7 linked regions of the Canis lupus familiaris genome follow. The protein of the gene in region 5 purifies or fractionates together with the protein of the main gene of each other region. This does not show direct contact. Links are inferred from orthologs where the notes say so. Each region holds a gene or a part of one and is shown on either strand. Other genes may lie near its edges.

What was found.
Region 1: the proteins of SEC13 (region 5) and NUP37 purify together in Homo sapiens (affinity purification with mass spectrometry; 5 studies listed by BioGRID and IntAct, counting the BioPlex papers as one, with this or other methods). This does not show direct contact. The link is inferred for Canis lupus familiaris from reciprocal best matches to the Homo sapiens genes SEC13 and NUP37.
Region 2: the proteins of SEC13 (region 5) and NUP133 purify together in Homo sapiens (affinity purification with mass spectrometry; 4 studies listed by BioGRID and IntAct, counting the BioPlex papers as one, with this or other methods). This does not show direct contact. The link is inferred for Canis lupus familiaris from reciprocal best matches to the Homo sapiens genes SEC13 and NUP133.
Region 3: the proteins of SEC13 (region 5) and MIOS purify together in Homo sapiens (affinity purification with mass spectrometry; 5 studies listed by BioGRID and IntAct, counting the BioPlex papers as one, with this or other methods). This does not show direct contact. The link is inferred for Canis lupus familiaris from reciprocal best matches to the Homo sapiens genes SEC13 and MIOS.
Region 4: the proteins of SEC13 (region 5) and SEC23A fractionate together in Homo sapiens (co-fractionation; 3 studies listed by BioGRID and IntAct, with this or other methods). This does not show direct contact. The link is inferred for Canis lupus familiaris from reciprocal best matches to the Homo sapiens genes SEC13 and SEC23A.
Region 6: the proteins of SEC13 (region 5) and NUP43 purify together in Homo sapiens (affinity purification with mass spectrometry; 3 studies listed by BioGRID and IntAct, counting the BioPlex papers as one, with this or other methods). This does not show direct contact. The link is inferred for Canis lupus familiaris from reciprocal best matches to the Homo sapiens genes SEC13 and NUP43.
Region 7: the proteins of SEC13 (region 5) and KLHL12 purify together in Homo sapiens (affinity purification with mass spectrometry; 3 studies listed by BioGRID and IntAct, with this or other methods). This does not show direct contact. The link is inferred for Canis lupus familiaris from reciprocal best matches to the Homo sapiens genes SEC13 and KLHL12.

Annotation. Positions count from the first base shown.
Region 1 is NC_049236.1:41,260,710-41,265,643, forward strand, and holds the start of NUP37 (nucleoporin Nup37), read right to left. Parts: upstream 3,310-4,934; 5' UTR 3,219-3,309; intron 2,665-3,218; exon of another isoform or gene 2,560-2,664; intron 1,928-2,559; 5' UTR 1,866-1,927; coding exon 1,710-1,865; intron 1-1,709. UniProt on the Homo sapiens protein: Component of the Nup107-160 subcomplex of the nuclear pore complex (NPC). The Nup107-160 subcomplex is required for the assembly of a functional NPC.
Region 2 is NC_049225.1:10,193,861-10,198,109, reverse strand, and holds part of NUP133 (nuclear pore complex protein Nup133), read right to left. Parts: intron 4,224-4,249; coding exon 4,065-4,223; intron 3,597-4,064; coding exon 3,461-3,596; intron 82-3,460; coding exon 1-81. UniProt on the Homo sapiens protein: Involved in poly(A)+ RNA transport. Involved in nephrogenesis.
Region 3 is NC_049235.1:23,148,422-23,152,670, reverse strand, and holds part of MIOS (GATOR complex protein MIOS), read right to left. Parts: intron 4,084-4,249; coding exon 4,018-4,083; intron 3,193-4,017; coding exon 3,034-3,192; intron 1-3,033. UniProt on the Homo sapiens protein: As a component of the GATOR2 complex, functions as an activator of the amino acid-sensing branch of the mTORC1 signaling pathway. The GATOR2 complex indirectly activates mTORC1 through the inhibition of the GATOR1 subcomplex.
Region 4 is NC_049229.1:17,442,612-17,446,860, reverse strand, and holds part of SEC23A (protein transport protein Sec23A), read left to right. Parts: intron 1-734; coding exon 735-814; intron 815-1,739; coding exon 1,740-1,884; intron 1,885-4,077; coding exon 4,078-4,236; intron 4,237-4,249.
Region 5 is NC_049241.1:8,118,391-8,122,639, reverse strand, and holds part of SEC13 (protein SEC13 homolog), read right to left. Parts: intron 2,197-4,249; coding exon 2,045-2,196; intron 1,473-2,044; coding exon 1,339-1,472; intron 1-1,338. UniProt on the Homo sapiens protein: Functions as a component of the nuclear pore complex (NPC) and the COPII coat. At the endoplasmic reticulum, SEC13 is involved in the biogenesis of COPII-coated vesicles.
Region 6 is NC_049222.1:40,749,323-40,753,571, forward strand, and holds part of NUP43 (nucleoporin Nup43), read right to left. Parts: intron 3,738-4,249; coding exon 3,557-3,737; intron 1,624-3,556; coding exon 1,488-1,623; intron 727-1,487; coding exon 575-726; intron 1-574. UniProt on the Homo sapiens protein: Component of the Nup107-160 subcomplex of the nuclear pore complex (NPC). The Nup107-160 subcomplex is required for the assembly of a functional NPC.
Region 7 is NC_049228.1:400,310-404,558, reverse strand, and holds part of KLHL12 (kelch-like protein 12), read right to left. Parts: coding exon 4,176-4,249; intron 2,738-4,175; coding exon 2,623-2,737; intron 1-2,622. UniProt on the Homo sapiens protein: Substrate-specific adapter of a BCR (BTB-CUL3-RBX1) E3 ubiquitin ligase complex that acts as a negative regulator of Wnt signaling pathway and ER-Golgi transport.

The sequences.
Region 1 (4,934 bases), on a different chromosome or scaffold from region 5:
TTGCTAGTTCCTTCTTCTAATTGTCTTTTTCTCTCTCTGCCACTCATTACCTCTGCCTTTCATTTTTCTGGATTTTTTCCTCCCTTCTTGACTTTCTTAGCTGAACATAAACTAGAGATAAAACAAATTTTTTCAGTATTTTTTAACACAATTCTGTATTCACAGTTATTAATTTTAGAAGTGATTAAGTAAAAAGTTAGTTTCACCTGTAGGAAGCTGCTTTATTCTTTTGTGGGTTAGTAGCCTGTACCAGAAAAATGTTTTTTTCCCCTCAGTCTTTTTCAAAAGTGTGTTATATTATTTCTCTTAATCATGTCGGCTTTTTATAATCCTAACGAAGTAGTCCAGCTAAAGTCAGGCTGTGGGTCATGGCTAGCAATTCCTACCCTAACCCTAAGAGAGACAATGTGGCACAATGTAAGAGCTTTTATATTACATTCAAACACCAAAAACCTGAAAGCTTGAATTCATACTTTCTCCTTAGGATAAATATGCATGCAGTCTAATTTTGGATAATTTTACTTATTGTACTATAAAATGCTAAATTGCATTTATGATGTCAAAACACTATATTGAAATAAAATACTGAACTGCCTCGTGAGTAAAAGAGGAAATAATAATTATGTTTATAATAGTACCATTCTAGTGGTAAAGTTACTTTAAATCTTTGAAAACTGATCACTGCCATATTACCTCACTGATTAACCTTAATTTGAGAAATATTGTTTTATGAATAATATTCTGGTAAACAAAGGATTAGCCAAGATTTCTGAGGGTTGAACTCTGATTGTTTAGACTCTTTCACATGTGGAACTAGCTTTCCTGTGAGAAAACATGGTGTGTGCTCACCGCAAAGCATCCTGCTTTGGTGATTAACCATGGGCCTGTGCTAGAGGGAAACAATGCCGAATTAATAACAGTTAAAACATTATATATATATGTGTGTGTGTGTGTGTGTGTGTGTGTGTGTGTATATATATATATGTATATAATATGTATATATGAATTAAACATGCAGATGCCTTACAGGAACTTCACATGATGTACTAACTACATTCTCATAAAATCCTATTAAGTATTATTTTCCTCATTTTTATATAAGAGAGATTAAGTACCTGCTCGAGGTCATATTGCTATTAAGAGGTAAAGCCAGACAGGGGTAAAAACCTAGGCATTCTGGCTCCAGAGTTCAATCTTAATGAATATGCCTAATTGCCTGTTCAATTAATTGGGTCTCATACTTTGTATACTCTGGATTATGCTTTAGATGAATAAAAAGCATGAGAGCATACTAATAGAAAAGCTGAATATCACGACAGCTGTAAAATCTCCTAGAGGATCATTCTTCTAGGCTTGATTTCCGTGTCAAAGCCTAGAATATAAAAAAACTGGATTACTTAGATCTCATTTAATTGGTGTTTTCCCTGTACATACCAAATGTTCAGTTAGTCACAACCTTCAATTACCAGAATATTCCATTTCTAATTATTAGGCAAAAGACAGGCCTCATGGTCTTTTTTTTTTTTTCACTAATGTTTGCACAAATCTCAGGCATATATTACTGGAAATATCTTCCTCTGTAGTTCTTCATATTTTTTTTTATTACATTCAAACTCAATATGCTTTCCAACTTTAATCAGTTTACCAAAGTTTGTTTTTTTAACCAGTAAAATAGCTTCATTGTCAGTCACTGAGTTTTGTACACTAACCTGAAAAGTACACATGCCAATGACCACATAATTACCGCCACCATATGCAATTAGGTTTCCTGAATCCCCACTGTCAAAGGGATTAAATTCTACCACATGCACATAATCTTCACAATCCACAGTGTAGGCAGCACTTCTTGTGGCATCTTGCTTCATGTTGTATGTCAATACTTGAGCAGTTGTAATAAAAGAGCCTTCTACTGGACAAGGTGACGAAACTGTGGATTACAGCAGAGACACAACACAGATAGAAAACGTCAAAGTATCAGTCACTTTCAGCAACTGAATCAAAATAAGGACATGGTATTTCAGATGCCACAGGCAGCTAAAAAAAAAAATTCAAGTACTTGTTTAAATACTTTATAATACTTGCAGAATAAATCGTCATAATAACCTGTTTAACCAGAAGATACAGTGAGTACTTGAAGATGTAATCACTTTAGTTGTAAATATATTCATAAAAAATTAATGATAAATTAACATTTACAGAGCACTATTTGCAGGTGCCATGTTAAGGATTTTACTAACATCATGACACCTAACACTTGCAAACCTAAGAGGAGGGAAATGGCTGCCACTTTACAGAAGAATCGAGACTTCAGTAGGTTAGTTGCCATGCCCGTAAGAGGAGATAGCACTTGTAATACTTTACTATGCGTTGGACACTAATCCTAGGGAAGAAAAACAGCCCCTTTGCCTTCAAGATCACAATATCCGCTAACAGTTATGACTCAGTGTGAAAAGCGCCATAACATAAGCAGATCGAAAATATAAGATCTGGTGAAAGGTGTGTCAAAATGTGTGATATAAAAATAATACTCATAAAACCAGGCACAAAAGTTCAACTAACCTGCTATGGCCTGGTGTGCACTCTGAAAGTAGCATTCCCAGATAAGACTCAGGAATGTAAAGAGGTTTTTTTTTTTTTTTTTTTTTTATTTTTTGTGTTTTCTCTCTTAATTGGACGCAGTTGTCCTGAGAACAGTTGGGCTCAGTAACGAACACATCAAGAACCTGAGAAGTATTTACGGAGAAGGAGAGGAATCCCAACTCATGTAGCCTATAACCTAGTAAGCATACGAGTGGGAATCCGGGACCTGACATGTGTTAAGGGTGACCAGCAGGTGGATGCCCTTAGAGAGGCACGGCGGTGTGGGGAGTGGAAAAGACTCCAGGTCAGGAAACTCGGTCCCCTTCTTGCTCCTTAAACTAGTGCCCACTCTCACTGCATTTCAGGGTTTCCCTGCACACTGCGGGGAGGGGGGGGGGGCGATGTGCCCTCTAAAACTGGAAAGGCAGAGGAGGGAAGGGATTGCGCTGCAAAGAGCCCCAACGCCTCTCCCAGACAGGCAAGTCCCGCGAGACCCCGCGACCACCTCCCAAAGCCTGAGGTCCGGGAAAAGACAGGGTGCGGCCCGGGAGAGAAGTAACTCGCAAGGACACCACGGGAGCGCTGTGCAGCCAGTAGTAAAGCAGCAGGGACCCCTAGGGCTCCCGCGCGATACGCACCGGGGGCGTCGGGAAATAGCCGGAGGAAAGGCGGTCTCCGCTGGGGGACTGCCGCGGCGCGCGCAGACTCTGCTTCCGGGTCAGAGGGCGGAAGCGCCGATTGGCTCCCGAGCCTTCCCGCGAGATTTAAAAATCTAACTCGGGACGAACTCTCACCGCTTGGAGACCGCAGCCTGGCGGGACTACTGTAACGTGGGGTCTGCACCTGCCGGCTGTTCCCGAGGCAGGTGAGTGTCATCTCTTGCCCGCCCGCCTGTCACACATTAATCTGTGATTCAGGCTGGGGCTGGTGACAGCCAAGTGACCGTCCAGAATGTGATTTGTTTAGTGGCTTTGCTCTGTAGCCTGCTTGGGTCTGGGGGTGTAGAAGAGTTCCCGGTTATCTGGTGAGGAGTATGGCTGGAAGGTCCTGAGGGACGCCTGGAGGGACCTCCGTATGTTCCTTAGGGTGGCAGGAAACCATGGTTCGAGTCCCAAGACGCGAGCAGACTCCAGTTTCACTACTTTCTCTCTCTCTGTTACCGTCTCCCAAAGAATATTTAGGATCTGCACCCTGAAGGCGATGCCCCTTTTTTTCTTCCTTTCCTTTCCTTTCCTTTCCTTTCCTTTCCTTTCCTTTCCTTTCCTTTCCTTTCCTTTCCTTTCCTTTCCTTTCCTTTCCTTTCCTTTCCTTTCCTTTCCTTTCCTTTTCCTTTCCTTTCCTTTCCTTTCCTTTCCTTTCCTTTCCTTTCCTTTCCTTTCCTTTCCTTTCCTTTCCTTTCCTTTCCTTTCCTTTCCTTTCCTTTCCTTTTTTCTTTATTTTATTTATTTATTCATGAGAGACACACACAGAGAGAGGCAGAGGGACAGGCAGAGGGAGAAGCAGGCTCCATGAGGGAGCCCAACGCGGGACTTGATCCCGGGACCCCAGGATCACCCCCCAGGCCGAAGGCAGGCGGTAAACCGCTGAGCCACGTCCCTCTTTCTTTTTAACGGAGCACCTATTAAGTGCGTGACCCTAGGTGGATGTTTCCTTGTGTTATAGTTTTACGAGGTAAGTGATATCTTAACTCCTTTATGCTTGAGGAAATTTATGTTCATCAGAGATTTTAAATACCGAAGGACGTACATTTCATACATTGAGGAACCAGGATGTGGGCCCTGGAATATCCGACGTAGATATTCTTTTACCATCTCTCACTATCACCCTAGTGATAATTTCCCGTGACACAGTTTTTGCTCCAGTGCAGTTTGGAAGCTAGTTTTTTCAGGAGAGTGTTCATGATCACTGCCACCTGCCACTGTTGCTGTATAGTGCCGCCCAGCCTGAAATTCCGAGTGCTTGTGTAGTCATCGTCTCAGTGACTCCTCATAATTGGCTGGAAGGTATTATTCCTGTTTTATTTTTTTCATATATATAAATGTATATTTATATAATATAAATGTATAAGTATCACATATATATTTTTCCCGTTTTCTGCGTGATGACACCTCACCTGGGCAGTCAGGGGTAAAGTAAAGCTTGTTGCCCATTAGCTGTGGAAAGCATGGGGACTGGACCAGAGTTGGCAAACTCTTGGTCTACTTGTTTTTGTGCAGCCATTTTCAGTGCTAAGAACAGATTTTCCATGTTTGAGTAATTGAAACAAAAACAAAAAGAATGATATTTTGTGACATGTGAAAATCATGTAAACGTTCATTTCAGTTTCCACAAAGTCTTGTTGAAGCAGAGTTATG
Region 2 (4,249 bases), on a different chromosome or scaffold from region 5:
TGAGACTTAGCTGTTTTTCCGCCAGCAGCTGTTCAGGCAAGGTCTCCTGGTGCAGCAGAAAGCGCTCCTGCTCAGCCATTTCTAGAATTCAAAATGAGAGGCGGGGAGAGGAATAAACTCTTCTGCTCCATCATAAAAAATCTGAATTTTTTTCAAAAAAGAGGAACATCTCTACAGGTAATCTCATCACTATTTGGTGAACTTAAAATGTTATTAATTCTGCTAACTCTTGATTTCTGATTATGCTAAAACATATTTATGGTGTGATCCAAATCATATAAACAAACACTATCACCAGATACAGGAGGGGAGAGAAGAGCTATGAAAATACACCCTACTGCTTGAAGAAATTGTAGAACAGATGGCTATTTTGAGGCACAAGTCCTTCAGATCGGGGGATTCAGTCCCATTTTATGGTAACTTAGGAACTCCCACCAGAGTTTCTAGCATAATCTTTCACTAGGGGAAATGATCTACTTAAAAGCCACAATGAGTATACTCCAGGAAAAACAAAACCTGGAAGCTTATGTGCCAAACCTATTAACTAGCAATGGTAATCTCAATAGGATGAGGGGACAGGGTGAGGCTTACTTGCCATAAGCCATCCAGGCTGCAGCCCATCCCCAGGCTGGGCTACAGAGGAAAAGGATCTAGAACTGCCATGCAGCCTCATAAACACAGCGGTCCCATCACAGCAAAGTACAGTGACCAAAGCACAAATATGCTCATACAAATACTGACATCACTTCACAATCAAATCATTTTTGTGCAATTTCCATACATAGAAAAACAGACTGGGAGGATACACAAAACAGTAATAGTAGTAATCTCTGTGGCAGTGAGATATTATATAGACAATTTGGGTTTTTTGTTTGTGTTTTTCCTGGTAATTTACAAATTTCCATAAGGAATTATTCACATTACCAGAAAGGAAGTTATTTTTCAAAAATCTACTCCCTATGTCCAGATACACTGATGACAGTCTGTAGGTAATTACTGACATCTGAAAATACTCCCATTGTGTTAAGAATGTGAAAGTTAAGAAGTAATCAAATCAAAATGACCAGTTCTAACGATTTCTGGTGGGTGAGGTAGCAAGAAATAAAACCTTGATTTAATTAATAACATGGTCTATCTCTGGTGATCAGACTAAATTATGGCTTCCCACGTCAGATTATCAGCCAACCTTGCTGAATTTATACACACTTCTTTAGAACAAAAAAGGACTACCAGTGCTTAAAAATAAAAGACTGAAGATTTCCCTCAACAGTGCAAAATAATTTTTTTTTAAAAACATATTTTATTTATTCATGAGAGACACAGAGACAGAGAGAGGCAGAGACACAGAGGGAAAAGCAGGCTCCACGCAGGGAGCCCGACATGGGACTCGATCCTGGGTCTCCAGGATCACACCCCGGGCCAAAGGCGGTGCCAAACCGCTGAGCCACCCAGGCTGCCCAAATAATTTTAATAATAAAAATTAAATGCTAATCCTAGGATATATTAAATAATATATGTAAGACTTTTTTTTTTCAAGAACAGTGCCTCCAATCCTTGTAACTACCCATTTTATAGCTGAGGAACTGAGGCCTGTCAGAGGGTATCCAAAGTCACAAAGATAGTAAGCTGGAGAAAATATCTGAAATCGGATCTGTCCAATTTCCATCTAGATTCTTTCCACTATTCCCACTCCTCGAAGAAACAAATGACAGCAGTATAATTAGAATCTGTACCTAAGAGACTGGACTCTGTGGCTAAGCCCTGAAACCAAACACCTGTATTTGCATACAGTTCACCCCTGAACAGATAGCTAAGATCCCCCTCCGATTTTTATTTTGAAAAATTCCAAACCTACAGAAAAATTTAAAGAATACAGTGTACACTGTATACCTGGAGTTACCTGCTGTTAACATTTTGCCATCCTTGCTTTATCTACCTATCTACTTATCAACCCACCTATTTGCTTTTCCCCTTAAGTAATATAGAAGTTGCAGACTTTCACACCATTTCATTTCTAATTACTTTAGCATATACCTCCTAAGAACAAGACCATTCAACCAGTATCATTATCAAGTCTGAAAAATTTAACAGATATAGTAAAGTCATCTAATATTAATTATGTTCACATTTCCCCAGTTGTCACCAAAATGTTTGTCACAGTTATTTGGGGGATGACCGAGCATCTCATACTGCATTTGGTTGTCACAGCTCTCAGGCTACTTTAATCTAAAACAGCCTCTTTTTTTTCCCTTTATGTTGCTTAATTTTGAAAAGACTGGGCTGATTATATTAAATGCCCCACAAATAGGATACATCCGATCATTCCCTGTTGTTAGATTCAGGTTGAACATCTCTAGCACGAAAGCAATGCAGGTGATATTCTGCATCACTCCAGGAAGTATGTAATGTTAATCTGTCTCACTGCTGATGATGGTCTGTTAGATGTGTGTAATGACAGTCTGAAAACATGAGATGATCTTCTACCCCTAACCCCTAGACTCAATGTTTTAGCATCCTTTGATGAACAATTAGTCACTATAGTTGCAAGATGCTTCCCAAGTCCTATTCCACACTTATCAGCTGGTATTCTTTTTTCGTAAAGAAGAATTTCACTGATCCTTCCCATTCTGGGCATCACTGTAGATTTATGAATTTTTGCTTTTAAATGGTGAAATAAAATGCTTTACTATCATTTTACTATCATTATTTTTGGTTCAAACTCGGCCAGTGGAGGCTATTTTGTTGACATCTCTACAAAAACCTTGCTCTCTGGCTCAGCAAGATTCAAGATCTTTCCTCAATAACCTTTGTTTTTACTAAGAAATAGTTAGAAGTAGTTAGAAGCCAAAACATAGGACTAGGTATACTCATGCTACTGGGGTGTCACTGCTTTTAGCCCTTTTCAGTGAACAGAGCCAGGAATACTTTAATTTTAAATAATCTTGATTCCATCTGAAATCTCCAATTCAAATGCTGTATACAGGGTTCTTCCTTCTCCTCCTAGATTTTATCTCCCTTCCCCTTGGTTCTCAAAAATGACAATGTATCATTTTCTCAACCTACAATACAACAAAATAGTTGGATACAATTATGACACCAAAAAGTTTTGAATTCTGAAACCAGTAGCTTCAAAATTACCACTATTTACAACAAACCCACTGATTAAAAAGGTCAAGATTTCTTTGCAGTTCTTCTTGTTCTTAGATTATGAGTCACTCAGGGTATACTCAGAGCACTCTTCAAATCATACATAATTCTTAGGAATTCTTATTTAACAAACAGATTTTCTGTAAAAAATAGAATCCCAAAAAATATGTACTTAAGTGTCTAATGAGACTGGATAGAAATCGCTCCTCTTAAAGGAGTGATGGGTCCTGTTTCTAATAAACCCTATTAATTACAGGAATGCATTCTAAGAGTTCACTGATAGCATGATTAACATTCAAATCCTTTCTTTTACCTTCAATTTTTTCTTGTAGGATATCCTCTGAAAAGTCTGAAGCCAATGCAGCCAATTTACTCAAACCAAGAAGGGTTTTTTTCTTTGCAAAATAATGAGTTTCCATGTTTGCCAAACCCAGAAGTGTTGCATGAGCCTACAATAAACAAAATATGAAAAATGTTAAGATTCTCAGTACTAATTCAAGTTAAGTACAACCCAAAATTATTCCCAACTGATAACAATGAAAAATCAAATTAATACTAGCAAATCTAAAACTGACTGGTACTATATACTGAGAGTGATTGCACAAAATATCAACCTGCCATACTAATTATTGGGAAAAGAAACATACATAAAACATTCCTTCTATAACAATTATATATTCACTTCAACAACTTGTCAAGGACAAACTTTAAAATTAATTCATGTATAGTTTTTACCCAAAATTTGAACATTTTTTTGTTTTATGCCATCATAAATAAAAACACTTTATTCAAATTATGTCAGCGAACAGGAGATACATATTTAAAATCACCTCTAAATAATATTTTAATCACTATAAGCTAAACTAATTAAATAAAAAACTGCCTAAATCGGCTCCATGTAACTCAATCTTCCTTACCTTTTCTAATTCTTGGCTGTTAATTTCATGTAACCAGCTAAGATGTTCATGAGCTTGCAAAAAATTTGCCAACTCTTCATGCTGAGAAATGGGCTGAGATAATAATTTGCCTCGCTTTCCTTTCTCCAGATACCAACGGAAAAGAAAGTCTGAAAAATTCTACAAAAAAAAAAGAAAACAAAACA
Region 3 (4,249 bases), on a different chromosome or scaffold from region 5:
ATATAATCTCATTTCAGTAAGAAAAAAAATGATGTGCTATGCTACAGAAAGACACCTTTTCTTCCACAGGCAGTGGCCTGATAAGTTGGTAAATTTATACTGTGTTTGTTTGTTTGTTCATAAGAAGGTAGGATCCGAGGGTGCATTTTACTACATTTACCCAGTATACAGCATGCTATCAACTGTATGAAAAGATGGGGATAGGAAAGAGGACACCATGAGAAGATAAGATTAGCTGGAGGGCTACATGAAATCTCAGGGAAATGCTCTAACTGTTCACCATATTTCTATCAAAAGTAAAGAAGAGAACTTTTGCCAGAAATCTGTTTTTAACTGTTAGACAATAAAAACTGAGAGTAAACTGATGAACTGGCTACCCCAAATATTAAAAAGGTAAAATGAGAGGAAGGAAGTTGTGGTATAACTTCTTTCTGCACTTCAAGTGAGACCATAGTTCAGATCAGGGAAAGGCAACTCTTTTATAGAAAGTAGTTTTGTGAATTGGAGAAACTAGAAAGAGGTTTCTCTGCTCCATTTGAGCTTTATGTAAATTCAACACGGACACTTCCCAAAATGGAAGGAAAAACTGGCTGAGGGATAGTAAGATAAGGTAGAAGTCTACTACAGAATAACTGATTAGCTTAAAGTTAAATGCCTTCTAACCCCAAGCAATCTACACATTTAATGCAATCCCTATCAAAATACCACCAGCATTTTTCACAGAGCTAGAACAATCCTAAAATTTGTGTGGAACCACAAAAGACCTCTAACAGACAAAGCAATTCTGAAAAACAAAACTGGGGGCATCATAATTCTAGATTTCAAGGTATTATAACAAAGTTGTAGTCATCAAGATAATATAGTTGGGGGCAGCCCTGGTGGTGCAGCGGTTTAGCGCCATCTGCAGCCAAGGGCATGATCCTGGAGACCCTGGATCGAGTCCCACATCAGGCTCTCTGCGTGGAGCCTGCTTCTCCCTCTGCCTGTGTCTCTGCCCCCCTCTCTCTCTGCATCTCTATGAATAAATAAATAAAATCTTTAAAAAAAATTAAAAATAAAAAAGATAATATAGTTGGTACTGGCACAAAAACAGATGCATAGATCAATAGAACTTCAGAATAGAAAACACAGAAATGGACCCACAACTATATGGTCAACTAATCTTCGACAAAGCAGGAAAGAACATCTAATGGAAAAAAGTCTCTTCAACAAACAGTGCTGGGAAAACTGGACAGTAACATGCAGAAGAACAAAACTTGACCACTTTCGTATACCATATATCAAAATAAATTCAAAATGGATGAAAGATCAAATGTGAGACAGGAAACCATCAAAATGGTAGAGGAAAACACAGGCAGAAACCTCTTTGACCTTGGCCGTAGTAACTTCTTACTAGACATGTTGCCAGAAGTAAGGGAAACAAAAGCAAAAATGAACTATTAGGACTTCATCAAGATAAAAAGCTTCAGCCAGGGGATCCCTGGGTGGCTCAGCAGTTTAGTGCCTGCCTTCGTTTGCCCCAGGGTATGATCTTGGAGTCCCGGGATCGAGTCCCTCATCAGGCTCCCTGCATGGAGCCTGCTTCTCCCTCTGCCTGTGTCTCTGCCTCTCTCTCTTTCTCTGAGATTCATAGAGATTTCTGTCTCTATGAATAATAAATAAATCTTAAAAAAAGAAAGGTTTGGCACAGTGAAGGAAACAATCAACAAAACTACAGGCAGCCTACAGAATGGGAGAAGGTATCTGCCAACATATCTGATAAAGGGTTAGTATCGAAAATCTACAAAGAGGGCAGATCAGATGGCTCAGCAGTTTAGCGCCACCTTCAGCCCAGGGCATGATCCTGGAGACCTGGGATCGAGTCCCACGTCGGGCTCCCTGCATGGAGCCTGCTTCTCCTTCTGCCTGTGTCTCTGCCTCTCTCTCTCTCTCTCTCTCTCTCAAAATAAATAAATAAAATCCTAAAAAAAAATAAAATCTACAAAGAACTTACAAAACTCAACACCAAAAGAATAAATAATTCAGTTAAGAAATAGGCAGAAGACATGAATAGACACTTTTCTGAAGAAGACATCCAGATGGCTAATAGACACATAAAAAGATGCTCCACATCATTCATCATCATGGAAATACAAATCAAAATCACAATGAGATACCATCTCATACCTGTCAGGATGGCTAAAATTAACAACACAAGAAACAACAGGTGTTGGCAAGGATATAGAGAAAGGGGAACCCTCTTGCACTGTTGGTGGGGATGCAAACTGATACAGCCACTTTGGAGAACAGTATGGAGGTTCCTCAAAATGTTAAAAATAGAATGATCCCCCATTATTCAGCAATTACACTAGGTATTTAACTAAAGAATAAAAAAATACAGATTCGAAGGGACAGATGCACCCCAGCATCTAGAGCAGCAATGTCCACAATAGCCAAACTATGGAGAGAGCCCAAATTTCCATCAACTGATGAAGACGTGGTGTGTGTACACACATACACACACAGATACACACACAGAAATATTACTCAGCCATCCAAAGGAATGGACTCTTGCCATTCACAATGACACAGATGGAGCTACAGTATATTACGCTAAGTGAAATAAGTCAGTCAGAGAAAGACAAATGTCACATGATCTCACTTATATGTGAAATTTACGAAAACGGATGAACACGGGAAGTGGGAAAAGAAAAAAAAAAAAAAGACAGAAACAAGCCATAAGAGACTCTTAAAAATAGAGCACAAACTGAGGGTTGATTGAGGGTTGTGGGTGGGGGATGGGTTAGATGGGTGATGGGGATTAAGGAGGGCGCTTGTGATGGGCACTGGGTGTTGTATGTAAGTGATGACTCACTGAATTCTACCATAGAAACCAATATTGCACTATATGTTAATTACCTAAATTTAGAGTAAAAATAATTAAAGTTAAATGCCTTATAAAGATCCTAAACAAGCAAAAGGCATACCCACTCAATGAAGGAAGAAGGTGGTTAAGCACTGTTTTTCTTTAAGCTGCTACCACACTGCACTAACCTGCAACATGCAGTAACTTGCTGTTTGGACATCTCCAGTTCTATCGACATAACTCTCCATTAAGTCCACTCCATCTTTAGTAAGGCCTGTAAGCAGTATTCCTTCCAAATTTCCAGCCTCTTTCATTTCGTTGGTCAACTTTTCAATATATCTATTTAACTGGAAAATTCAAAGTGATTTTTCTGAAGCAATTTGTTTCACTATATACTCTGTACTTCAAAACTTATACTTTTGGAATAGTTTTATTTTTATGGAACACATTTTAAAACAAAGCCTTCGCAAAAATCTAGATGTGATCTCTTAAGAAGTCTGCATCTGTCATAAATTACAATGTAGCATTCCTGGTTATTTAAAATATTTTTTAAAAAAGGCATTCATTATATTTTAGTAATTATTCTATAAAAGAACTATAGAGGGTTTATTATTTTAAATTTAAAGAGAACTGTCCCTCAGTATTCTGCAAAGTTTTATTGTAATAGAAACATAGAATCTGAGTTGAAAGGGAACTTGAAGATGATCAAAAATAATCATCTGTTGGTAAGGTCTCTGACTTCATCCCACCCCAAATTCTAGTCTATATTCCTCTCTGTTCCCTCAGCACTTCCTGCTCATTATTATAGTGCTTAGCACCTTTTATTACTGATTGTTTATGGGCGTTTCTCTGTCACTATATACACAGCATATGCATTCAATACTTATTTATTGTATTAGGAAGGAATGAAGGAATTTTTTTATAGCATCCCTAAGCGGTGAATTTAATGTCTTTATCTCTAGATCAAAAGCAAAAATAAACTAAAATATTAAGTCAGGAATCTTAAACAATTTTGGTTACAATACACATGTTTACAGTATCTTGATCTAATAAATTATTTTTAAAGAAGAATTTATATGTTACATACACATATTTGTACATGAAGATTAGTTTCCTAATCCAGTAACAGTAAATATTAATCACTTCAAATATAGAATTAAACCAATTTTTACCTGACTATCACTGAGGAATTTACAAGCAAATGCCACTCTGTCACGTACAGCAACTTTGTTTTCATACTGAAAAGAAGAGCAAGAAGTTACTTGTGGGAGCTAGGAGTTTTAAATTCTTGCAGACTATTAACCTAATAGTAATTTTATTTTCAAATGTATTAGTAAGTTATTGTGTATATACTGGCAGAGCCTAAGAGGCCTTTCTTAATGTATCCCTCTGGAAACTCAGCTC
Region 4 (4,249 bases), on a different chromosome or scaffold from region 5:
ACTAAAGTAAAACTTTAGTAAAAAATTTCTAAATTCAAGAAAACTTTAGTAAATATAATATTTAGTAAAACTATTTAGTAAAATAGTGATGTGTTTAGAGAGGAATTTTTTACACATTTAAAATTCAAAACAAAACTGGTGATTTGGTTAGGTAGTAACTAAAAAATTAAGAAGTATAGGCATAAAGGTGTGTGTACATTATAACTCTTATATGATTCCATGTACCTCTCCTTTATAACATTTATTACAATTGCAATTTTATACTTTTTTAGCTAACAATTTTATTAACTGCTATTTGTTTCATCAGATTTTAATTTCATAAGGTCAAGGACTATATATATATATATATATATATATATTTACCATTAGATGCCTGACACATAGCAGGTACTTCTCAAGTGAAGTTGCTCAAAGGGATGGATGAATATAATTTAAGAAATACATTCAAGTTATGTAGTAACTTGACTATTAATTAGAAATAAAGTATTTTTGAGCTAATATTCCTCTTTGCTTCTATAGTACCTTGTATTTTGCTCTCTCATGGTGATTATTTCATTGTCTTGTTACTGTTTATCTGACTGTCTCCACAACTGAACTTTTTGCTTTCTGAGAAAAAGACTTTATGCTCTTTATTTTTGGGTTCCTAATACCTAGCACAGTATCTGGCGCATGGTAAGTAGTTGATACATCTTTGGAGTAATTGAACGGATATCACAGAAAAAATCTCTTTACAGGAAATGCTGGGACTCTCTAAAGTACCTGTTACTCAAGCAACACGTGGTCCTCAGGTACAGCAGCCACCTCCTTCCAATAGGTAATAATGAAATATGGCAAAGATAATTTTTACAATTTGTGAAGCTCTTTTAAGCATCCTGTACCCTTAACTTGAACATAGACATTCAGTGATACTATGTTGTTAAATATTTTTAAGAATGTGAATATATTGCATTAGTATACCTTCTAAAGATTTGAGGCAGAATCATATCACCAAAATGGTTGGTTTCTCATCATTACAATGTTGAGTTACTTTAGTTTTGATATGTTCCTGATCTATTTTTAAGTTCATAAAAACTTTTGTGGTTGAAGGCAGCCAAACAAAACTAGGTTCTGCAAAAGCTTTTCATTTTGCCTTCTTAGCCTTACAGGTAGTTTTTTCCTCCTAAACTTACTAATTAGAGGTGGTATTACTAAAATTGAGTTGATGTATCTTCTCATAATTACTTCAGTAGCCTTAAAACTTACCAGGCCGGTAAATAAAAGGCGCAGTCCTGAAGTAATACTTGGTGTGAGTGTTTTACTTATAGTTGTTGTGCTAAGACTGGTTCTGGACCAGTAGATAACATCACCTGGGAACTTGTTTGAAATGCAGTTCTTGGGCCCTACCCCAGACCTACTGAAACGAAACTCTGCAATCAGCAATCTGTTAAAATAAGTTCTTCTACTAGTTCTGATGTACACAAAAGTTAGAGAGCCATTGGTCTGCCATGTATTGAAGTTACTTTTCTCTATTTTTAATTTTTTTTTTTTAGGATTTTATTTATTAGAGTGAGTGAGCACATGAGGGAGAGGGAGGCTCAATCCCAGGACCCTGGGATCATGATGAACTTAAGGGAGATGCTTAACCTACTGAGCCACCCAAGTGTCCCATACTTTTCTTTCTTTCTAAAAAAGTGAACAGTTTGTTTCTTGAACTCTTACAAACATTTATAAATGACTTTTTATTTAACTTTGCTTTGCAGATTCTTGCAGCCAGTACAGAAAATAGACATGAATCTCACAGATCTTCTGGGAGAACTGCAGCGAGACCCTTGGCCTGTACCACAGGGGAAGAGACCTTTGCGTTCCTCTGGAGTGGCACTTTCCATAGCTGTAGGACTACTTGAGGTAGTGACGATAGCTTTGTTTTGGAAATGTAAATGTGTATGTGTGTATCAATGATATGTACAAGGTAATGTTGTTGAGTGAGAAAACCAGGTCATTAAGACAAGTATCTAATTACATTTAAAGTTTGACCTATGGTATATCCTTTTGTGTATAGAGAGGCACCTGGAAGGGTGTTCGTCCAGCTGTTAGCAGTGGTAGGATAAGGGGAATTTTGCTTTTAAGTAGAGTTTGAAAATTTTACACTACACAGATCTTAAGCTTTATAATTAGAAAAGAGAGTTTAAAAAAATGCTTTTTAAAAATGTGAGATGCTATCAAATTTACAGAGAAGTTGTAAAGAACTTTTTTCCCTTTGAACTATTTACATTGTTGACACCTTTCCAACCCCTTGAAAACTTGAGTTGTATTTCCTATAAATCAGGATATTTTCTATAAAACCACAATACAATTATTACAATCAGAGTATTAACACTGACATGTTACTACCACCTAATTTTCAGAACTCATTCAACTTTTGCTGGTTATTTCAATTTCTTTTACTAAAAAGATTTAATTCAGAGACATGTATTTAGCAGCATGTTTTTTTTAGTTTCCTGCAGTCAGGTACAGTTCCTCAACTTCTGCTTTCATGAACCTGATGCTTGGAAGATTCAGGCCAGTTATTTTATAGGCTCTCTCAAAGTAGGTTTGTTTTGATGTATCCACACAGTTAGATTCAGGTCTTACATCATTGGTAAGAATATTGTAGAAATAATTCTGTGTTCTCATTACACCCTATCACATGGCCTGTGATTTTCATTTGCCATTCAAGATGATACAGTCACCATGATCACTTCTTTTTTTTTTTTTTTTTTTTTTTAAGATTTTATTTATTTATTCATGAGAGACAGAGAGAGGCAGAGACACAGAGGGAGGGAGAGGCAGGCTCCTGCATGGAGCCTGATGTGGGACTCGATCCCAGAACCGGGATCATGCCCTGAGCCAAAGGAAGATGCTCAACTGCTGAGCCACCCAGGCATCCCACCGTGATCACTTCTTAAGATTGTATCTGTAGATTTCTCCACTGTAAACATACTTTTATTTTCCCTCCTTTTGTAATTGAAAAGCATTAGATGGTGAGGGTCTTTGAAATCATACAAATATCCCCTTCCTCATCAAAATTTAAATTTATTTATTAATATCATTATAGAGTTTACATCTTTTCTATGTGTATAGTTACTCTACTTTGTTCCATAATTAGAAACTTTTTTTTTTTAAGATTTTATTTATTTATTCATGAGAGACACAGAAAGAGAGACAGACGTAGGCAGAGGGAGAAGCAGGCTCCCTCTAGGGAGCCCGATGTGGAACTCGATCCTGGGACTCCGGAATCACACCCTGAGCCGAAGGCAGACGCTCAACCACTGAGCCACCCAGGCATCCCCATAATTAGAAAAATTTATATAATCATATTAGAAATGCTTTTTGGGGGAGTCTGCTTCTCTCTCTGCCTATGCCTCTGTTTCTCTGTGTCTTTCATGAATAAATAAATAAAATCTTTAAAAAAAAAAGAAGAAATGCTTTTATTTGCAATTTTCTTAGTTACTGGACAAAAAACATAGCACTTTTTTTATGTTATGTTATAGCTTCAGAAAAGAATAGATGGTATAACTTTTGTAATCCAGTGTATTTGGATTCCTCAAAATTTCTGTTCTACTTATAGCACTCTTATTTTTTATTTATTTACTTATTTATTTTCAAAATAATACCATTTTTTCTCAAGTCACTGGTACCTTAGGAGGAAGGAGAGGTAGATTGGAGCACTCAGTCTATCATCTTGAATTTGAAATATAAGCTATGCTTGTTTTAAACATAAAAAACAAAAATAAAACAACAACAAAACAGAAGATGCACTCTTTTCACTCTTTCTTTACTCCTTCCAGTCTAGGATTAGTTAAGCAGGAGAAGCATCCTTGTTTATAGGAATCAAGTTTATAGAGTATTTTAAAGTTAGGAGGGCACTATTAATAGGATTTCAAAAGAAAGGTATTTAAACAAATACCTTGTCTTTAAATTCATTTTAAACATTTGATTATTTCTTGGGAAATGTATACTTTTGTGTTTTCTGGAAAATGTATATCAAAATTCACTTCTAGAAATGTATAACTTGTATTTTCCTTTAAACTCTTTTGACAAGTTACTTTTTTCTTATAGTGTACTTTTCCCAACACTGGTGCTCGTATCATGATGTTCATTGGCGGTCCAGCAACTCAGGGACCTGGAATGGTGGTTGGAGATGAACTGAAGACGCCTATAAGATCATGGCACGACATTGAAAAAGACAACGCTAAATATGTTAAAAAGGGAACTAAGGTAATTTTGGCTT
Region 5 (4,249 bases):
ACACACAGAGAGAGGCAGAGACACAGGCAGAGGGGAGAAGCAGGCTCCACACAGGGAGCCTGATATGGGACTTGATTCCGGGACTCCAGGATCACGCTCTAGGCCAAAGGCGGCGCCCAACCGCTGGGCCACCCAGGGATCCCCTCCCTGTTGGCTATTTTGGCAATACTCTCCCTTCTCAGGTCTGTTAGAAGGCACCTTATTGCTTCTTCCTGCTCAGATAACCAATACCATGCAGTTTTGTGGTTGTTGGTTTATTCCTCTCTGCTTCTATTTTGGAGTTTGTGGAAATATCTTGTTACCTAGTTTTATTGTAAATGCTGTGAAGTTTTGGTTGTGCTCTCTAGCTGCTCTGTTGGGTTTTTACAGAGATGAGGAAAGACTGAAAAGCTGTGATGCCACTCCGTACCATCTTCTCAGAAGTCTCTCAGCCTACTCATTTTTGCAAGTTAGTCAGCAGATGGGAATCTGAGTACCTTAAGTAAAGACTCTGAGACAGGCTCTTGGGGGTTCTAGGGGCTGGACAGACTATGGATCCCCTGAATTTGAGAAGTACCCAAGTACAGCATCAAGCTTGGGAGCTACTAGGTTTCCATCTGAGTAGATTTTAGAAATGTTTGGGGCCACCAAAGCTGGAACTGTTGTATAGTGAGAAGGTATACAGAATCTGGGTTCTAATTCTGGCACAGGACCTTCTCTAAATCATTTACTTTTTCTGACCCTCATCTGTCTTGCCATAAAATGGGAACAGAATGGCTTACTTGCATGCCTATACACTTGGTAGCTTCTTCTTTCATTTACAGACACTTGTAAGGATTACATGACACACAGTAAGGGTTAAGTACTGTGAGAGATTCTTTACTGTCTACAGTGCTTTCTGGACTATTTTAGCCATAATATCTAATGACTGAAATGCAAGGAACTGAATTCCTAGGATGTTCTTTATAACACTACTCAGTTCTGGGGGTCCCAATGACCACTGTAAACATGTCAACTTGAGGTGTCCATAGCAAAGGCAGCAGGTAAACAGGCTACTGCTGCCACCTTGCCAAGGTCCTGGCCCTGCCTGGTTTGGGAGCTTGCTAAGAGGAACCTGTGCCAACCCCTGCCCTGGGCCGAATGAGGCTGGTATAGCCTGGCCTCCCTGCATGCAGCCTCTGTCTGGCTTCAGAGCTAAAGAGGCTCAAAACTGACCCACCAAGCACGTCTGAGCATCATTCCCTCCCCAGCCCCCTGCACAGCAGTGAGGCTACTCCTGCCACTCTCTCAAGAGTCTCCAGGAGACACATAGCAAGGCAACAAAAGCACACTCCATGCACAGGCAAGGTCTAGACTTACAGTATGAGCATTGTTGATCTTCTTTACTTCCCACTGGCCCTCTCCGGTGTATGTCAGCAGGGAGATGGCCCCATCTGAGCTCCCACAGGCCAGTATTAGGCCGTAGTCATGGGGGGCCCAGCACACAGAGTTTACTGCAGGAAGGAGAGAAGCATAGTTAGCAGACTTTGTTTCCCAGGTTTATCATTTTACTAAATTTGAAAAATAAAATTGCAGGGATCACTAGGAGGAAGTTTTAATTTTGTCAATTAAGGAGACTTAAAAAGCTCATCATCCATGAATATAATAATTTCATAAACTACCGTCTACTTTAACAAAAAGCAAGATGGGGTGAAATAGATAAAGGGGATTAAGAGTACACTTACTGTGATGAGCGTAATGGACAGAAATATCGAGTCAGTGTAATATACACTTGAAACCAATGTAACACTGTATGTTGATAAAAATAAATTAATAAAACCAGGGGAATAAAAGCAGATAGAAAGTAATCTGAGAATAAAGGCCAGTACTTTAAATGAATAAATTTTTTAGAAAACTTACTGTTTTTACCTTTTCTTATTTCACTTGAAATTGTCTTTAGGTCCTAGGGCCTTATCTCTGCTGTAGACAGCAGAAAAGCCAACCAAACCCAAGGGACAAAGGAGGAGCATCACAAGGGAAAGGAATGCAAGGCCCCACCCACCTGCTCCCACTACACTCACTGTACCTGAGGAGTCATGTCCTGTGTGCTCGTGTGTCTTCTCCCAGGTGCCATTTTCCTCCTTCCAGATAATGACCTTCCGGTCATAGGAGCAGGATGCCAGGATGTTGCCATACATGGGGTGGGCCCAGGCCACTTGCCACACAGGACCCTCGTGACTACAAGGGGACAGACAGGGTCAGAGGCTGCTCAGATGGGTCACAGGAACCTGCGGTGCTCTGCTAGCCACTACTCTGGACTGAACTGAATGGCTTTCTTGGTAGGCAGATACAGTATCTCAGGACAGAGTTGCCTAAGAATTTTGTAACGGAGAGCTATAGGATGTCACTGCCAAAGGGGACCTTTGTTGGGCAGTAAAGGTCCTGAGGCCCAGGGGCTTTGAAAGTAAGTCAGGACTTTAACTCAGCTTCTCTATCCTGACCTGCCATAACCCTCCCTTGTCCCACAGTGTAGCCAGTACCACCTACATCTGCCATCATCAGAAGCCTCTCAGCCTATTCATTTGTGCACCAATCAATCCAGGGTTTGTACTTATAATTGCTCAGAGGTGTTTGTAGAGTAAATTGTTCTTCTGATCTTTATGCATTCACCTGGTCAGTAATATCTGAGCACATACCTGGTGCTGGGCTCTGTACTGGGGCTGTCTCTGAGGTGCAGGGAAGGGTGGGAACCCAGCACACAAGAAGTGACACGGCAGAGAGGTGATGGCCCAGGCTTTTCCACCCCCACTCCCCATTCACTAGCTGCTTGACTTTAGGTAAGGGTCATGTCTTTTCTGTGGCTTAGTCTCCCAATGGAGATACCAGCAAGACTTCTTTCAAAAGTGTGCTCGTGAGGGGGAAATATGTGTGATAACTCACGTAAAAAGCTTGAACAATGCTGGGCACAAGAAAAGGAAAAACCACTCATGCCTGTCAGCTGCTATTGCTGTTCTTTGTTCACTTCTCTACCCCAGGGCTGCAGACACTCAATGTGTCCTCCTCTTTCTGGCTGGGACAATTTCCAGGCCCCACAAAGTAGCTGCCAAGGAAACTCGGAAGAGATACAAATGTCCTATAACTAGCAGTTCAACTGAAGGCAAAAAAAAGGGAGGAGGTGTGAATCTTTTTTATTCCTCTAATATCATACATCATTTAAGCATGAGAAAAAGAGCGCAGAAGAAAGGGCCAAGTAAGAGCAGATGCGATCGCCTCTGCCAGTACCGGTGCCAGGCAGCATTCTGCACAGCCTGGGGCTGCTCCTGCTGCACAAGTAGCATCTGACCCCTCAGTCACTCAGTTTTTGACTCAAGAAGAGGGGGACTCCGTCTCCCCAGATGACTACTTAGTTATGCCTTCTTTAATTCAGTTACCAAATGTGTACTGAACTCCTATTCATCAAGGTTAATTTCTCCTGTGCAGTCTGCTGAAGGCTTTGGTCCCTTCTCAGAATAATGGATACAATACACAGAGTTAGAATTACAAAGGAAATCCAATTAAATGAAATACAGTTAGTGAAATGTTGAAGAAGGATTTATAACATCGTGATACATGTACTTCTTTGTTAGCACATTAACAAACTCGAGTGGGAGGTCTAATAACCACTCTCATCTCAAAGTAGTGATGAGCCTAAATGCTACTTTGAGACAGCTGTAACTGGAATGTGCTATAAAGATATCTGTGTCTTCTACTGGTAACAAAGTTACAGGTGTTCTGAATACTGCTGTGGTTTCTAGCCTAAATCCATCATTGAAGGAAATGCTAAATATGAGTCACTGACAATAAAGATGTGATTTTTTTTTTTAATCTCAGCCCCAGTTCACCAGTCCCTGAATTCTATCCACCAAACCCTTGGAGATCTGTGGAACTCAGGTTAAGGATTCCCATTTACTTGAAATGTAGTGGACTGAGGGATAGTAGTAGGGATGTAGCCACAAAAATGAGCCAGGATCTCAAGAATCTTAGTAGGGAGAGGGGAAATCAAACATTTGTAAATATTCACTGAATATCTGCTATGGGCAGGCAAATAGGTAAGATTATAGAACTTACATAATTACTAATGCATTCTTACATAAACATTATTGCCTTTGAGTGATACTTTAGATCATGTCAGCTAAATTTAAAAAAATGTTCTTTCCACTTTTAAAATAACAGCAGCTGAAGGCATGCTGTGAGCAGGCTCCACCTGGGAGGCAGCAGCAATGGCCCATTTTGAGGGTGAGGAGGTGAAGTC
Region 6 (4,249 bases), on a different chromosome or scaffold from region 5:
CATGATATCAACAATAGTGGTAAAATGAAAAATATGTCTAGTCAAAAAAATCCCCACCAAAATCAAAAGATGAAAAAAGGGACAAGATCCTATATATACTGTTGTTTAAAAAAAAAGAGTACAATAATAAATTGAGGAACACATAGATTGGCAAATATTAACAATGATAGCCTGCATTTAAGTGGGAAAAGGGCATCCTCTTATATGGAGTATGGCAATATAAACTTATGTATAATATTTTTATGTATTTTTATGTATAAAGTTTGATAACATGTATCAGAGCTTTAAAACTATACAAATATTTTAGCTTACGAATTCTACTTCAAAAAAATTATCCTAAGAAAAGCACATAAAGATGAACATGTAAGGATAATTAATCACTGTGGTTTTGGATAGAATAAAGAAACATACTGAATAAGTTGTCAAATAAAAAGGGATTAGTTATTATACATTTACATAATTCAGCCAAAACCTACAACATAAAATGATCCATATGTCTTATTACGGAAAGCTGCTTATAATACATCATATTACCACCCAACAAAAAAGACTTGTGTATCTCCACAGCACTTACTTTCAGCTTCATGAGCCTTCAGCAGAGACACAGGCATAGTACCCTGTCTAACATCCCAAATACTCAGCATTCCATCCTGGCCACCAGTAGCTACAACATGCTGCTGGTTGGGATGTCTATCAACACAGTGGAGGGGCACTCGGTCACCAGTCCTTTTATAGGAGATATAATGACATCAAACATGTTGTGAAATATGATTTATCTTTGCATAATCCGTGAAACATATTTCACTCTAGCAACTAACTAACTTTGTGGCTGGAGCTATTGGCTGAACTTAAATCATGTCAAAAAATTGGGTGCATTAAATATATTTCTAAATATTAGAATTTTGCAATGGAATTAAAGCCAAAATTATTCTCTCTTCAATTTGGAGACATAAGGAACATGATAATCTGATGGTAAGATGTGCAAACATATTTCCATTTCTTGGCATTTAAAAAACTTTATGTACAACTAAACAGCATATTCTTTATTTCTTATTTGACTTAATATTTTGCCTATATAATTACTTTTTCACTTTGACAAATTCTATATTCTTTTTTTTCTATATTCTTATTAGAGAAAATTGCACACATAAAATTTTTTGCTCAGGCAAAAATATCTTGGATTTTATTTTTATCCCAATCACATCAGGAGTGCATTGTATCAGTAGAATCATTTGCTGAGCAAAATTAAATTCCCCATTAAATAATATAACTTTCAAGAGATACAGGCTCTGAATCAATATGACAAATATTTTAGTAAATATGCAGCAGAGCAGTACCAAGCTCATCAAATTATACTTGCTTTACCAAATTTAATCAGGGATCATTCTCTTCAAATGCAATTAAAATACAATATGGTTTAAAGTCAGTTGTTATAAACAATTGAACAAATTAATTGTTCACTACTAAAATTACAAATGAAAACTTACAGTGATAATATCTGAGAAGGCTCATTTCCTTGTTTTCTGAAATCCCATATTTTTAACTGCCCAATTGAATTTACTGTAAGAATCTCAGGAGTTCGAAGGAAGGTTACAGCATGGAGTGTACTGCTATCTGCATTGTCTACAAATTAAGAAAACAGTAGTGTGTGTTAATGAGTCCTATTTTCCCATTAAATTCCTTTTTAAAAAAAAGATTTTATTTATTTATTCATGAGAGAGACATAAGCAGAGGGAGAAGCAGGCTCCCTATGGGGAGCCGGATGTGGGACTGGATCCCAGGCCCCTGAGCTCAGGACCTGAGCCAAAGGCAGACACACTTAACCACAGAGCCACCCAGACGCCCCTCCACAAAATTCTTAATTTGCATTCCTTCTATTGATTGAAATATTACAAGTGAACTTTTAAATAAGTCAGTTTAATTTCTATAGAAAAATGCACAGGAATATATCTGTTAAAATGGACTCTCCTTTGATAGAAAAATTATCTGTCTTACAGAACAGCTGTTTTCCAAACAGAAGGCTGAGTTTTCACATATTTCTCTATTTCCACTTACGACTATTACCCTCCAATGCGGAGACAGCTATTTAAGTTCCTCTATTTCCAGTTTTTTATCTCCCGCTAGTGCTTAACCCAGAACCTCCCAACCTCAGTGCTTCCTATATAGCTTATTCGGAACTTGTATCATTTGGCTGACTTATCTCAAATCTATTCATCATTAGGGGCACCTGGCTGGCTCAGCTGATAGGGCATGCAACTCTTGATCTTAGGGTTCTAAGTTCAAGCCCCATGTTGGGTGTAGAGATTATTTAAAAATAAAATCTTAAGGGGCGCCTGGGTGGCTCAGTTGGTTAAGTGTCTGCTTTCGGCTCAGGTCATGCATGATCCCAGGGCCTTGGGATCGAGCCCCATGTTGGGCTCCTTGATCAGTGGGGAGCCTCCTTCTCCTCCCTCTGCCTCTTCCCCTTCTGGTGCTTGCGCTCACTGTCTCCTCTCAGATAAATGAAAATGGAATCTTTAAAAAAATAAAATCTTAGAAAAAAAATCTCTTCATCTTTAGCCTCATTAACTCTCTTCTCCATGAAGTCCTTCTGGACTGGTATACTGGTCCTTTAAAGATTTTATTTATTCATGAGAGACACACAGGCAGAGACATAGGCAGAGGGAGAAGCAGGCTCCTCCCAAGGAGCCCAATGTGGGAATCGATCCCATGACTGGGATCACGTCCTGAGCCAAAGGCAGATGCTCAACCACTGAGCCACTCAGGCATCCCTACCTAGAGGGTTTAAGCTTAATATCACATAATTTAGCACCTACTTCTTGCCTTTTGTTTTGTGACACTGCTCTAAACTCCAGGCAATGGTCCTTAATCGTTAAATAAGTGTTCTTCAGAATTAAAAAGAATAACAAACAACACAAAAAATGGATCCATGGGCTCAATCCACAGAGGTTTGATTCAGGAGGTCTAGGGTGGTGGATCGTTAAAACTATTGTCAGGCAAGTCTGACAATGTGAAGCATAGTTAAGAACTACTAGACTAGAATAATCCTTCCAAAACATCACAGGGAGTATATCATCCCCCTGCCTCAAGTTTCAATGGCTCCTTAGTTGCCCACCTGACAAAATGTAACCTCTGTGGTTGTGCACTGGACTCTTCAAAACCTGGCCCCAATTTAATTTTCTTGCTTATCTGTCCCCTCTCCTATGTAAATATCTAAAACTATACTTCTTGTCATTCTCTGAATGGACTTATCCTGCCTCCATTTTATTCCTTTTGTTTGGTGTGCCATCTTTTAGATTTGTGGTCCAGAACCTAGTTTAAATTAATTGCCTCTTGCTCCTCAATTCTTCCATTATCCTCTCCAGTAAAAAAAAAAAAAAAGATCAAACAGCTTTTCTTTTGTCGTCACTCATTCCTACATGTCTTATCAACATTTGTCTTGTAAAGGGCTCCTACTTTGTATATTTTCACATCCTTCAAACATTTAGCATTACGTTTGCTTAACACCTGGTAGGTGCTCAATTATGTGATAACAAAAGAAATATATTTTGCTTACCTATGGTTCTCACAGCCTCCTTGTGATCAGCTCTAAAGAGATTTATTCGACCATCTTCTCCAACTGTGACAATTTCTGGGCTGTTGCACACAACACCTGTGCATGGTGCACTGCTATAGGAAGGACTTCCCGGGCCTGTGTGGTAGTGAGCTGCTGTCCACTGCTGGCTGACTGACAGAGTCTAGGTTTCCAGAATGACGATATGATTAAACAAAGCGAAGCCCTAAAAACTAGCACTTTTCCCTGAATAAAGAGTATTTTAAAATCCTGGCCCACACCCTTCTAGAAAAAGAGTAACTCTCTCCTTTTTCCTTTGTATTTCTGGGCACTAAAGCCTAGAAACTACTTCCATCAAAGTTCTGTATACACTGGATTCGATGAAAAAAGAAATCCTATTAATATCTCAAACTTTAAAAATATTTTATTTAAATTCAATTTGCCAACATATAACATCCAGTGCTCACCCCCTCAAGTGCCCTCCTTAGTGCCCGTCACCTAGTTACCCTATCTCCTCACCCACCTTCCCTTCTGCAACCCTTTGTTTCCCAGAGTTAGAATAATATCTCAAACTTATCTCAAAGAAATGATTGAGGTATCAGATAGTTGTATGTTCAAAAGCTACTCTAAATGCTTAAGGGAATTAGCCTACAACTAAGAAATAAATCTTTTTTTTTTAATTTTATTTATTTGATA
Region 7 (4,249 bases), on a different chromosome or scaffold from region 5:
GAGCTTGATTCTGCTGTCGATGTAACAAATCTACTTTCCTAATTTGTCTTATAATGTTGTGCATGATTTTTATTTAGTCAAACTCACTGACCTTATCCTTTGTGAGTTCTTCTATGGTTCTGTGCCTCATTAAGTCTTCCTCTAACTTCTAAGTGTTTCAATGTCTTCAGACCCTAAGTTGGGGACTACTACTCAAACTAACATGAAAAGAGCTAGAGAAAGGACTGAGTAGAAGGAAACCTGTTTGGGATCCCTGGGTGGCTCAGCGGTTTGGCGTCGCCTTCAGCCCAGGGTGTGATCCTGGAGACCCGGGATCAAGTCCCACGTCAGGCTCCCTGCATGGGGCCTGCTTCTCCCTCTGCCTGTGCCCCTCTCTCTCTGTCGAATAAATAAATAAAATATTAAAAAAAAAAAAAAAAAGGAAACCTGTTTGTTCTTTGCCAATGAATGGGGTGGGGGAGGAGGGGGCAGGGGATGGGACTTGTTAAATTAGATTTTGTCTTTAGAATGAGGAGAGTATGTCTAAAACGCCTGACAAAAACAGTATGAAAAAGCACATTAGTAAAGCCAAGGCATCTTGACAGCACCCTTGTCATTATTTGGGGAGGGGAGATAGGAATGTGTGCAAGCTGTGGTATGCAGTCAGAGGACTATAGTAGATACGACTGCAGGACTGCTAACATCACAGGCTTCAGAGACGACATTTCCACATGTATTGCTCTTTAGCTCAGAAAAGGAGATTGTGACAAATTAGAAATGGCAATATCCACTGTATTCTCTGTGAGAGAGTTATGGGTAAGAAGTAAATAACTAAGACAAAATCCCCACCCATTATTTGGAATGCCATCTTTATGTAGCTGTAAATTTAATTTCTTTATGCTGTATGCAGAAGAGTCATTATCCTGGTAGCTGGTTTAGCAATTGCTATGAAGGGAGATGAGTAGAGAACATGATAGTAGGAACAATTTATTTCTAAGACACTGACAAGGAGATGCTAATAAAAGAATCTAGTTGAAAGGACACCTGGTGGCTCAGTGGTTCAGCATCTGCCTTCAGCTCAGGGAGTGACCCTGGGGTCCTGGGATCGAGTTCTGTATCGGGCTCCGCGCAGGGAGCCTGCTTCTCCTCCCTCTGCCCGTGTCTCTGCCTCTCTGTGTCTCAATAAAGAAAAATCTTTAAAAAAAAAAAAAAAAAAGAATCTAGCTGGAGACAGCTTCAGAATTTGTTTTCCGGAACTTCAGAAAAATAACCTCAATACCCTAAGGGCATGTAGAATCACATTCGAATCTCTCAAGATCTTCTCTGTATTTCTAACATTTCCATACTGACATACACTGACATATGGTACTTATACAATTAAAACAAATCAGGGGATGAGTCATCATTCTTTATTTTTTTTTTTAAGAGTTCATTTATTTATTCATGAGAATACACAGAGAGGAAAGAGAGAGAGAGGCAGAGGCACAGGCAGAGGGAGAAGCAGGCTCCATACAGGGAGCCCGACGTGGGACTCAATCCCAGGTCTCCAGGATGACGCCCTGGACTGAAGGTGGCGCTAAACCGCTGAGCCACCGGGGCTGCCCACGAATCATTCTACTTCAAACTATCAGTGAACAGCTTAATTATCAATTAACACCCTCATATACACGAGTCCACAGTTAGGTAAGAGAAAAAATAGACAATACCAAAAACAAAACACCACCCCATAGATCATTTATAACCTACAATAGTGGAATAGGGAGGATAGGAAACAGAAGCGAGGTAATATCTGAGTACTTACTACCCGTCAGCTTCAATGTCAGGCATTTAATCTCCACAAACATCCAGGGAAATAAGACATTAGTATCCTCATTTTCCAGGCAGAAGCACAGGCTCAGATAAATTGATACCTTACCCAAGGTCAAACAACCAGTCACTGGTGGAGCTGTGATTTGAACCTAAGTCTCTTTGCTAAGATAACAGCTAATGTATACAGCACTTGTCGGGTGCCAAGAACTAGCCCAAGCCTTTTACATAAATCACTTCATTTAACTCTTCATAACCACCTTTGAGGTAAAACTATGATCCCACTTTAGAGAGGAGGCAACTGAAGCACAGAGAGGTGAGATTTCCTGCCAAAGCTAATATACGTGCCAAGTAGTCAGCTGGGATCGGCACCCACACAGTCTGGCTCCAGAGTCCAGGCTCTGAACTCTTGTACGTCACTACCAACACCCCTGTACTTTATACTGTCCTGCTGCTTTTTCTTCCTCGTTTTATTCCAGAATGGCGAAATACAACTTGGCATTTGAAATAATTTCTAATTCACAGGACTCCAAAAATAGTGAAATAAAATTATAACTCATGCTGCATAATACTCGACAATTTAGAAAGTGCTTTTACACACTCTATTCCATTTAATCCTCCAGGTATGTCAAATACATAGGGAAGGTATCCTTAGTTTATAGGAGAGCTCAGAGTGGTGAAGTGACTTGTCCAAGAGGACGCCATTACTAAAAGATTAAAAACAGGTCCGAAACAGGTCTTTGTATTTCTTCCTGAATGTTCTTTTTAACTACATCATGCCACCTGGCAAGGGGGAGTTGAAAAATATCCCCTCCTTCTGCCAAGATGCCAGCTTACCTAGACGAGCCCTTGTTCTGGGTCCCTGCATCTGACTTCGCAGTTCAGGCCTCAGATGAAACTTCTTTGCTTCATCAACTAGATCCCTGCACTGCAGACTACAGCGGATGAAAGGCTGAAACACAGCAGATGGTAGAATGAGCCACAGGGGCCACATCTTGAATATGAATATAAATGGCACATATAAGAAATAACTTCTTGGTAGAGAAAACCAGTTTCTAAAGCTCTGTGGTTCCAGAAGGGCTGCTAGCAATTATGTAGTCTCCACAAATTAAACTAAAAAATTTTAATAGACAATATATCATTACATGGTTCAAAAATCAAATGACATAAAAAGAAATCCTGAGGAATATTCCCTATCCACCTCAGCACTAGGCATTAACTACTTTTATTTGTTTGTTTGTATATCCTTCCAGTGATTACACAAACTTAAGTGCGTAATAGTTAATAAAAATTTTAAGGGACAACCAAAAGGCTTCTGTTAATTCCTGGGATGATAAGAAATAGTAAATCTTATCTGAAATAATTTCCCCAAGGTTCATAGCACCGTCACAATGCCTCTGTCTCCACCTGACGGCGCTCTGTAATGGGCAGCTCTTCACATTCCTAGATTCACTCTGCATCCTTCTCCACTCTGCTTGCTGGTTTAGGAGATTGGCCTACATGAAGTAGGTCATGTGGTCCCCAGGCCCTCTGGGTTCTGGCTGGGCTCAGCCAGTGAGGAGCTGTAGAGGAGCTCAGAGAGAGAAGGGGAGTGAGGCCGGGCTCCCTCAGGGCAGGACGAGTGGTCAATCTGGGATTTCAGTCCTGAGTCTGACTCGAGAGTCTGAGCTATGGATCACTATATAAAGAAATAGACATGATGGCTACAGGAGTTGCTAGAAAGAAATTACAAATATGAGAAGAGTTTGACACATGGCACTAACCAGCCTGCAATTTTTCTAATGTGACCTGGAAAACTATATATGTAGTTAAGTCCCCAAGAGGTCTGGGGCTGGGCCAGAAGGAATGCATTCACTGACCTGGGCTTCACCTGTATGTTAAACAGCAGTACTTGTTTGGTCTAGGTCAATCGGTGATATATATGGTAAACATTATGAAAACACAGCACACACCAAGAACTTGGGCTAGAGAAACACTTTTATTAAAAAAACACAGTATAAAAAAAAAAACACAGTATAACCCAAATTGATATTAAAATCCATTAAACTACTTTTGTGTTGGTTTCACGAGAGGTCAAAAACAGAGACTTGATAAAGCATCTTTTTTAGAGTAGTTTGGAACAACTTATGTTTGATGAAGGGGACGTTATCATCTGATGTTGCTTATGTAAAACACATAAGAATATATAAAACAAAAAGACAAGAAAACAGAAAATTAAACCATAGATTTCCATTTCCAGAAGGCTGACTTGCCATGCAATTGTGGGGAGACGACCTCGCAACCACCGTCTCCGGCATTCCTAGATAGGCTAACTGGGAGGCCTGAGTACACAATACTAAGCTGCAAGAGATATTCAAGGTTTTGGATCCTATGTGTTTTGCAGGTCTTACCTCAGCATCTATCACATCCGTGATGTACCTGGGGGTCAGCAGGGGCATCCGGACATACTGTAGCAGGTCAGGCA